Linked DNA regions of Elephas maximus indicus. The protein of the gene in region 1 interacts with the protein of each later gene in a biochemical or structural test. Links are inferred from orthologs where the notes say so. Each region holds a gene or a part of one and is shown on either strand. Other genes may lie near its edges.

Region 1 (3,748 bases):
CGAGCTTTCGCGTCTCAGCGCGCACCGGGCGTGTCAGTATCAAAGGCTCTGGGGGTCGGGCCCTGGCGTCAGGCGCTGGCTGGAGTGGGGGCGGCGGGGACCCTCTCCTTGCCAGCGCAAGCGAGAACTGCCCAAACGCAGTTCCCAGCTTCACCCCATCTCCGCGGCGGCTCGACTCTGCTGGGCCGTCCGATTCTCCAGCTTCCAATAGCCTCACTCTCATAGACCCTTCGGAGCCCCCTAACCCTTCCCAAATTCCGTTGGACTTCCCGGGCCCGATTTCAGATAAGACGGGCGGCGGGAGGCTGCTACTTCCCCCGCCCCCCATCCTCGGCTTCTCCCTGGGCTGCGGTGGCCGCCACCGCCGCCAGCGCGTCCCGCGGACTGCCGCAAACCCGGGCCCAGGGAAAGGGGTCAGCGAGGGAGGGCGCGAGGAGGAGGCCGAGGGAAGGCAGTGGACAGAGGTGGAGGGAGGGGGCGGGAACGGAGGGGCGAGGCGCGGAGGAGGGACCAAGAGGAAGGGAGGGGACAGAGAGGGGAGGGGAAGCGCGAGGCTGGGGGCGGGGAGCCAGGCGAGAAGCCGCGCGGACCGAGGGGGAGGCGGCAGGGGCGAGGCGCGCTCGGAGCTGGCGATAAGCTGCTGCAGACTGGGGCTGAGTCGGGGAACCGCCGCGGGACTTCCCCGCGAAGGACCCAGCCAGAGCCCGCCAGGCCGGGCCGAGCTGCGGGGCCGAGGAGTGCGGCGACAAGCACCTCCGCGCGGGGCAGCGACCTGGGAGCCCCGCCGCCCACTCTGCGCCACCCTAGCTAGCAACCGCCCGCCGGCCCCTCTGTGATGTTCGAGGGACCTAGGCATCCAGGACCGTGACTGAGCGAGCCCGAGGATGGGACGGCGCCCGCAGCTCCTGCTTGTCAAGGTAGGAGCGCGCAGGGCAGCCCTCGAGCCTGGCGCCCCCGGCCGCCGGCTGGCGCGGGGCGGCTGGCAGGGGTGGATGCGGGGAGCGCGGGGCAGAGAGGTGCCCGGGTCCGGGGCAGCGGAGGTCTGAGGAGCAACCGAACTCCCGGGACCGGAGCCGGGGCTGGGTGGGTGGGGGAGCTCAGGTGAAAAAAGAAACCGTGTGGCGACACTGCCGGGATGCTGGCGGAGGAGGTTGCCCGCCCACCGGCGGGAATGGCTGGGTGCGGAGACTCGCTCCAAGCTGTGGGGGCTGAAGCTCGTTTCTACGTCCCATCCCGCCCATGCGGAGCGCGGCCATGGGATAGGAGGCTCTGGAGGTGGGTCCCCACCCTGTTCCTAGCACCCTTTTATCGGCTCCCCTACTCTGCACGCCCCAGCCTCCAGTCCTGGGACCTCCTCCCTGCCCCTTCGGCTCTGCGGAAAGCGGCAAACCCAAGGAGATTAATGTCCCTCGCGCCTCCGCCGAGCCCTTGATGGATATCGCAGCCTCCGGGGAGGGGACGGTGTCTCCAATGGTGGGGCGAGCTCCTCCGCCGCTGCTGGCCGGCCGGGAGCGGCAACCCGGGAGCGCAGCGCTTGTTCTCCGAGCCTTTGCACCGGCAGGTCCCGGCGCTGCTCCGCCGGCCGCGTCTGCTCGTTCCTGCCCCGGGCCTGGCGACGCGATTTCGGGCCCCGGAGTTTAGGAAAGTGGCCAGGTCGCACGCCTAGCGTCTGCCGGCTGAAGTTCCGGGGCGGCGGAGCCCTGCCCGCGGGCGGTGGGAGCCGACGATGGGCTGGGGGACAGACAGGCCCGCCACTAGTGACAGCCGCCGCTTCCCCGCGCGGGGCGCTTCCCAAAGCGTTTCGGCTCCCTGGGTGCAGGCACGTCTGCAGCAGCGGGCTGGAGAATGGGTGGGCCTCGGGCCATCGCCGGGGAGCCCAGCGCTGCGCTCGCCAGCTCACCGCGTTGCCGCGGATCTCGGGACTCCGCAGGGTCGGTGTGGACCCTCTGAGCCGCCAACACCAGTTAACCAGGCTTGGTGCATTTAAAAGCGATTTCATTCAAAAGAATGGAATGGATTTGGGGGAGGGGTGCGGATTGATTGAATTTTATTTTTCCATCCGTTATTAAACCAACTGTGCGTATACCGGCTCACAAAGTGGTTTCATTGAGTTAAACCACCAAGCTTTTAAAACAAATTGCTGTGGCTCAGCAGCTGAGACGTTCCCAGTTATTAAGGGTTTTCCTTTCCTCTTCCCAGCCCAAATATTTTATCAGTGGTTGTTTAAAAAAAATGACACAAGGTTGGTCAGATGGAACCCATACCTTCCCTCCCCCCCGCCTTTAGCTGAGGGCTGGGGTGAACCCAGGGAATATTTTCTGCGTGATCACCCAGACCTGGCAAGACAGGTAGAAAGAAAAATACCAGAGAGGATGAATGGATGGCATTCGATGGGAACATTTTCCAAAAAGCTCCTGTGTACCAAACCTTGGTCTAAATTCACAAATCAGACTGAATTCAATCTTTTACATGGATTCAAGGGATGGAACAAAAGCCAGTGGTTTTGTTTTGTGACCCCCCCCCCCCCCGCCCCAAGTTTACTTGGTAATAGGTAAATGTTCTTTCTCTGGCTTTTCTTAGAACTGTATTCAAATCTCTATTTATAATTATCAGGTTGTACTTCTTTCTTTTTTTATTTTTTTACCAGATAACGGGGTCTGTGCCCTTTGTGTCTGGTCTAATGAACTCAGTAGGTGCTCAATCAATGCTGACCCAATGCAGGGCAGTGAGTGAATGGAGGGTTAATGCTGGCTTCAATTCAATACTTGCTTGGTTTTTTTTTTCTTTTATTTATGTAGCATGTGCAAGTTGCAGGACAACGTTCTACCTGCATTGCAAATATTATCATTTTATCCGCATAACAGCCCTAGGAGGTAGGGAGTAAAACCCCATTTTTATAGAGGAAGAAACTGAAGTAAAGAGAGGCTAAGTAACCTCTCCGAAGCCACACAGCTAGTAATTGATGGAGTCAGAACTCAAACTCCAGCCCTAAGACTTTGTTTTGTTAGCTTTTGCCAGAAAACATTCTAAACCACTTCTGTCTCACTTTAGACCTGCACCAGATGAGAGCTCAGTTTGCTTTGTGAGTGTGAATCTAGGGAAGTTATGGAAAATCCAGAATCCGGCTCTGTCCCCAACAAAGTCTGGCTCTGTCGGCCAGTTTTGGGAAAGGATCCACTCTGGGCCTAGCTCCTTACCGGAGTCCCTGGAGGCTCGCATCCACCCGAACGTGTTTTGGAAGAAAGACCTGGTGACCTTCCTCCTAAAAATCAGCCGTCGAAAACCCAATGGAGACCAGGTCTACTCTGACACACATGGGAACGACCCAGTAGCACCTGTTTTTTTTAAAAAACACTGTACCGGTTACAGTGTACTGCGGGAGAGTGTGTGTGAGCGTGTACGCATGAGTGACAGTGTGCGTGTGTGTGAGTGTACCTGAGTGAAAGATGTGTGAGTGGGAGTGTGTATGGGAAGAGCTGCGTATGAGTGTGTACTGAGGGTACATGTGTGTGAATGCGGGAGCAAGAAGTGCTGTGAATGTGCATGAGTGCATATGTGTGCGTGAAGAAGAGGTGTGTGTGTGTTGGAGTGTGCTTGATGAGAAAGAGCTGAGAGAGATGAGTGTCAGTGAGGGGGAAGAGAGAGGTGAGATATTTTCTCGACCCCCAGGGGAGGGTTGGGGTCATCTACCCACCAGCTGCAGCTCCCCACAGGGAGACCCAAGTATGGCTCAAAATTGTGGTTCCAG
Region 2 (3,748 bases), on another chromosome or scaffold:
CTGGGTTTAGCATTAATCCTGAATATGTGTTATGGTTATGGGTTGTGCTGTGAGCTGGAAATAATTTAACTCATTTAGCACACTATACCCAGTGAGGAAGTTTGTTATCTATAAAACAGGTTGAGATGGCAGACCACTTGGTCAAGGTCACACTGCTATTTAGATTTGAATTCTAAGCCAGAGTCATCTTTACTTGATGGCGAAGCACTTTCTATAACAAGTGCCAATAGTTGAGCCATTTGGCTATTTGATGTTTTAATTAGTGTATTCTAAATTGGGATAAGGAAAGTCAGTAAATACTGTTCTGTATTATTACACAGAGCTAATGGATACATTGAAGTTCTGTGCCTCTGCTCATATATGTTACGTACTTCCCTTTTCCCAAATATATTCTCTTTTAAATATGTAATGTGGGGTAACTTGTTCCTTTTTGGAGAAGTTCTCTCCCTGTCTCATCATCCAGATGAAGAATGGGGATATATGGTGGTAGGTTCTTTTTCTTCCTGTTGAAGTAATGGCAGACTGACTTCCTGATGACTCACGGTTTTCTGTAAGGCAAAGGATAAGTGTTAATATGGAGACAGGTGTGGAAAGCTGTTGGACCACAAAGATGGAAGATGGACTTAGCGGTACGACCATTGCCAGTGCAGATCAGTATCTGATGCTTCAAAGAGTTCAGTTAAGTAATGTCAGAGAGAAAGATGAGACTGGTGTGGTTTGTAGGAGCTGAGAAGAATTTTTGAATGGGAAAGAGGAGAATATTATAATCATGGGGGGTATTTTGAAAAATCCTCTTCTCTAACACTGGACTCTGTTTTACTCAGTTTCTCTTCCATGATCTGGTAGTTTCGAACTGCTGACCTTTTGGTTAGCAGCCAAGCTCTTAACCTCTATGCCACCAAGGCTCGCTTCCCTGATTTAGTGTGTTATCTTCCAGTGGTTCATGCAGTGCTTGAGTGTCACAGTTCTTTCCTAATTATTATCTGTGTCTCCCCAGTTAGACTGGGAGCATTTGAGAGCAGAATTACATTGTCTTTTTTTTTACATTTTTGATCTTTTCATCCACAAAATTTCTGAAGCAGCAGTAAGCTCCTTACTGTATGGTTAAGGTTCTAAAAGTGAATCCAAGATAATAGCAGTCTATATTGAGAAGCTCTTAAGGAAATACTTTGGAAACTTCTACCGTCTTATTTAAAAAAGATTATATGCCTTGTACTTTTTTATGCAAGTATTATTCATAATTATAAGATCATTTTGAAAAAGCCCTAAAATGATTAACTTTTTTTTTCCCCTATAAAGAACATCTAAAGTTAAATCAACAAATTTTTAATGGTCAAAGGATTGCAGTAGTTATCAAGTACTTTTTAGAGTACTTAGTTTTAGAATAAAATTTTAAAGTTCTGATAAATATAACAATTTTGCTTTATTTCTTTTATTCTCAGTGGTCCATTTTAGTTGCTGTTTTTAATCATCGCAAAGAAGATAACTGAACTTTGAAAAAAATGTTGGAAACCATAGGTAAGACCTATTCCTTCCTGCTACTTTTGTAAAAATTGAAACACATTCCATAGGGATTTTGGAAATACGGTATGTTCTACATAGCAGGATTCTATCTATAGTAACTTAGTTTTAAAAAAGTTTGTATTCACCAGCATTGTACTGGGCAGTGTATGCCTGTATCTGGGCAATTTCATCGGAGGTGTTATAAAACTCATTTATAAACAAAAGTTAAAAGTGTATGAGATATTCCGTTATGGATTTTAATGAAGTTTAATGTAAACACAGTTCTGGTTAAAGTTTGTTCCTGGGTAGCACCAGATAGTTCAGCAGTATTTTTTAATTCTGGAAGAAGGTCATTACCTATGTCTTAATTTTACTTTGTTTGTGACAGGTGAAGTACTACTGGCCTTTTGATTTTAATGGATAAAGAGAACACTAACAGTCACTTAGGCTGCATCCAGGTGGACAAACTTCAGTGAAGACTTAAGGCAGTTTATTTTCTACATGAGACAATTTAGGTTGAAACACCCAAATTTTCCAAGCTCAAGTGTTAATCTTTTTTCCACACTGCTGTCTAGTTTAAGAGGAACTAATTTCTAGAGAAATTAGTTACAGGTATATCAGGTGTGTAAAATCATGTGACACCTCAGTCCCTCACCTGTTCCAGATAACTCTAGCTATGACTATGGCAGGATGTATGGATTTCACTCTGGCAACTTGACGGTCACGGCTGGTACCATGATAGCTGAAGTGCTGAGGGGTAGGGTGAGAGTAGATGGCAATGAAGGGAGAAGAAGCTGGCTTTGTCATCATGGGGACCGTTACTGTGACTCTGTTCCCAATACCATGCTGGCGATGAAAATGCAGGGACACACATTTCCTTCATCACTTGTTTTATGCTGAAGTCATACAGCATAAAGAATACTAGTCCACAGAGGAAAGTTACTTGAAGTGGAAAGGAGAGGGCAAATATAAAACTATTTAAACCATTTCTTTCTAGTCTTTATTCTGTTACTGAGTTGGACACCTCCGCAAAATTGACATGCGGATTAATATTAGATTTGCATCCTGAGATACCGTGGGAAATATGACCCAGAATAAAATTCTTATGTATATCTTTATCATTTTTGGCTTTTAAAATTTTGTGTATTAGTAAATATTTTTTTCTTTTAATTTACATGCATGAGAACTCATCATTAACATCAATACGTGTCTTTGTTTTCCCCATTTCTGCGTAGCTCCAGATTTCATGTTATGGAAAGTGTCTTTGGTGATAATTCCCACTCTTATCCCTTACTGTGATATGGCAGATATTTTAATAGATGCACTTGTTATTATAAATCTATCAGGACATGTATCTAAATAGAGCCCCCTCCTCTTTTTTTCAAACAAATCTGGTCTCACTTATAAGTGTGTGTGTGTGTGTGTATGTTTTAGGGCGATGCTTTTAACTATTGTTTGTGGTGGAAACTCACTGTGGAGAAAGCATGCCTACAAGATGCTAGGACTGTTAGGGACACACATATTCAAAACCTTTACTTGTGGAACCCTGGGCCTGATCCATAAGGTGATTAATAGATATTTGGGTTGCGTTAGTTTGATGCATATGTTAATATGCTATTTAATTTTGGGGAAAGACATTTAAAGTTTTCAAAAATAGTTTTTTTTCAAACAATATGTATATTGTGCTGTATTTCCAAGCAAATTCTCATTACAGAATGTTTTGTCCTATAGTATATGAAATTGTTATATTTTGGAGATTGTGCCGTGTCAGTGACATTATCCATACCTGGAAACCCTGGTGGCGTAGTGTTTAAGTGCTACAGCTGCTAACCGAAGGGTTGGCAGTTCGAAACTGCCAGGCGCCCCTTGGAAACTCTGTGGGGCAGTTCTACTCTGCCCTATAGGGTCGCTATGAGTCGGAATCGACTCGACGGTACTGGGTTTTATTATCCATACCAATTTATTGGTGAGGTAGTTATATTTCTAATTTCCCTTATATTTGAATACAAAATTTAAAAAAGGGAAAATGTCAGTATTTGCAAGATCACAGAACATTTGGCTTTATATAGATTTTATAAAAGAGCTGAGATAGGTGACGTTAGAATTCCAGTACATTTCAACTGAATTAGTTTCCGAACTTTACAACTACTTGCATATGGCAGATGCTAAACCAAGTTCCCTGCTTTCAAACAAACTTTCTTACAAGAGACTTAAAGGTGTGAGGGACATATTTAGAGTAACATGT

What was found. The genes of interacting proteins can lie anywhere in the genome.
Region 2: the proteins of CRHR1 (region 1) and MPDZ form a complex in vitro, tested with the Homo sapiens proteins (2 studies listed by BioGRID and IntAct, with this or other methods). The link is inferred for Elephas maximus indicus from reciprocal best matches to the Homo sapiens genes CRHR1 and MPDZ.

What each region holds. Positions count from the first base shown.
Region 1 is NC_064837.1:52,548,009-52,551,756, forward strand, and holds the start of CRHR1 (corticotropin-releasing factor receptor 1), read left to right. Parts: upstream 1-844; 5' UTR 845-884; coding exon 885-917; intron 918-3,748.
Region 2 is NC_064827.1:23,296,417-23,300,164, reverse strand, and holds the start of MPDZ (multiple PDZ domain protein), read left to right. Parts: upstream 1-1,442; 5' UTR 1,443-1,502; coding exon 1,503-1,518; intron 1,519-3,748. UniProt on the Homo sapiens protein: Member of the NMDAR signaling complex that may play a role in control of AMPAR potentiation and synaptic plasticity in excitatory synapses. Promotes clustering of HT2RC at the cell surface.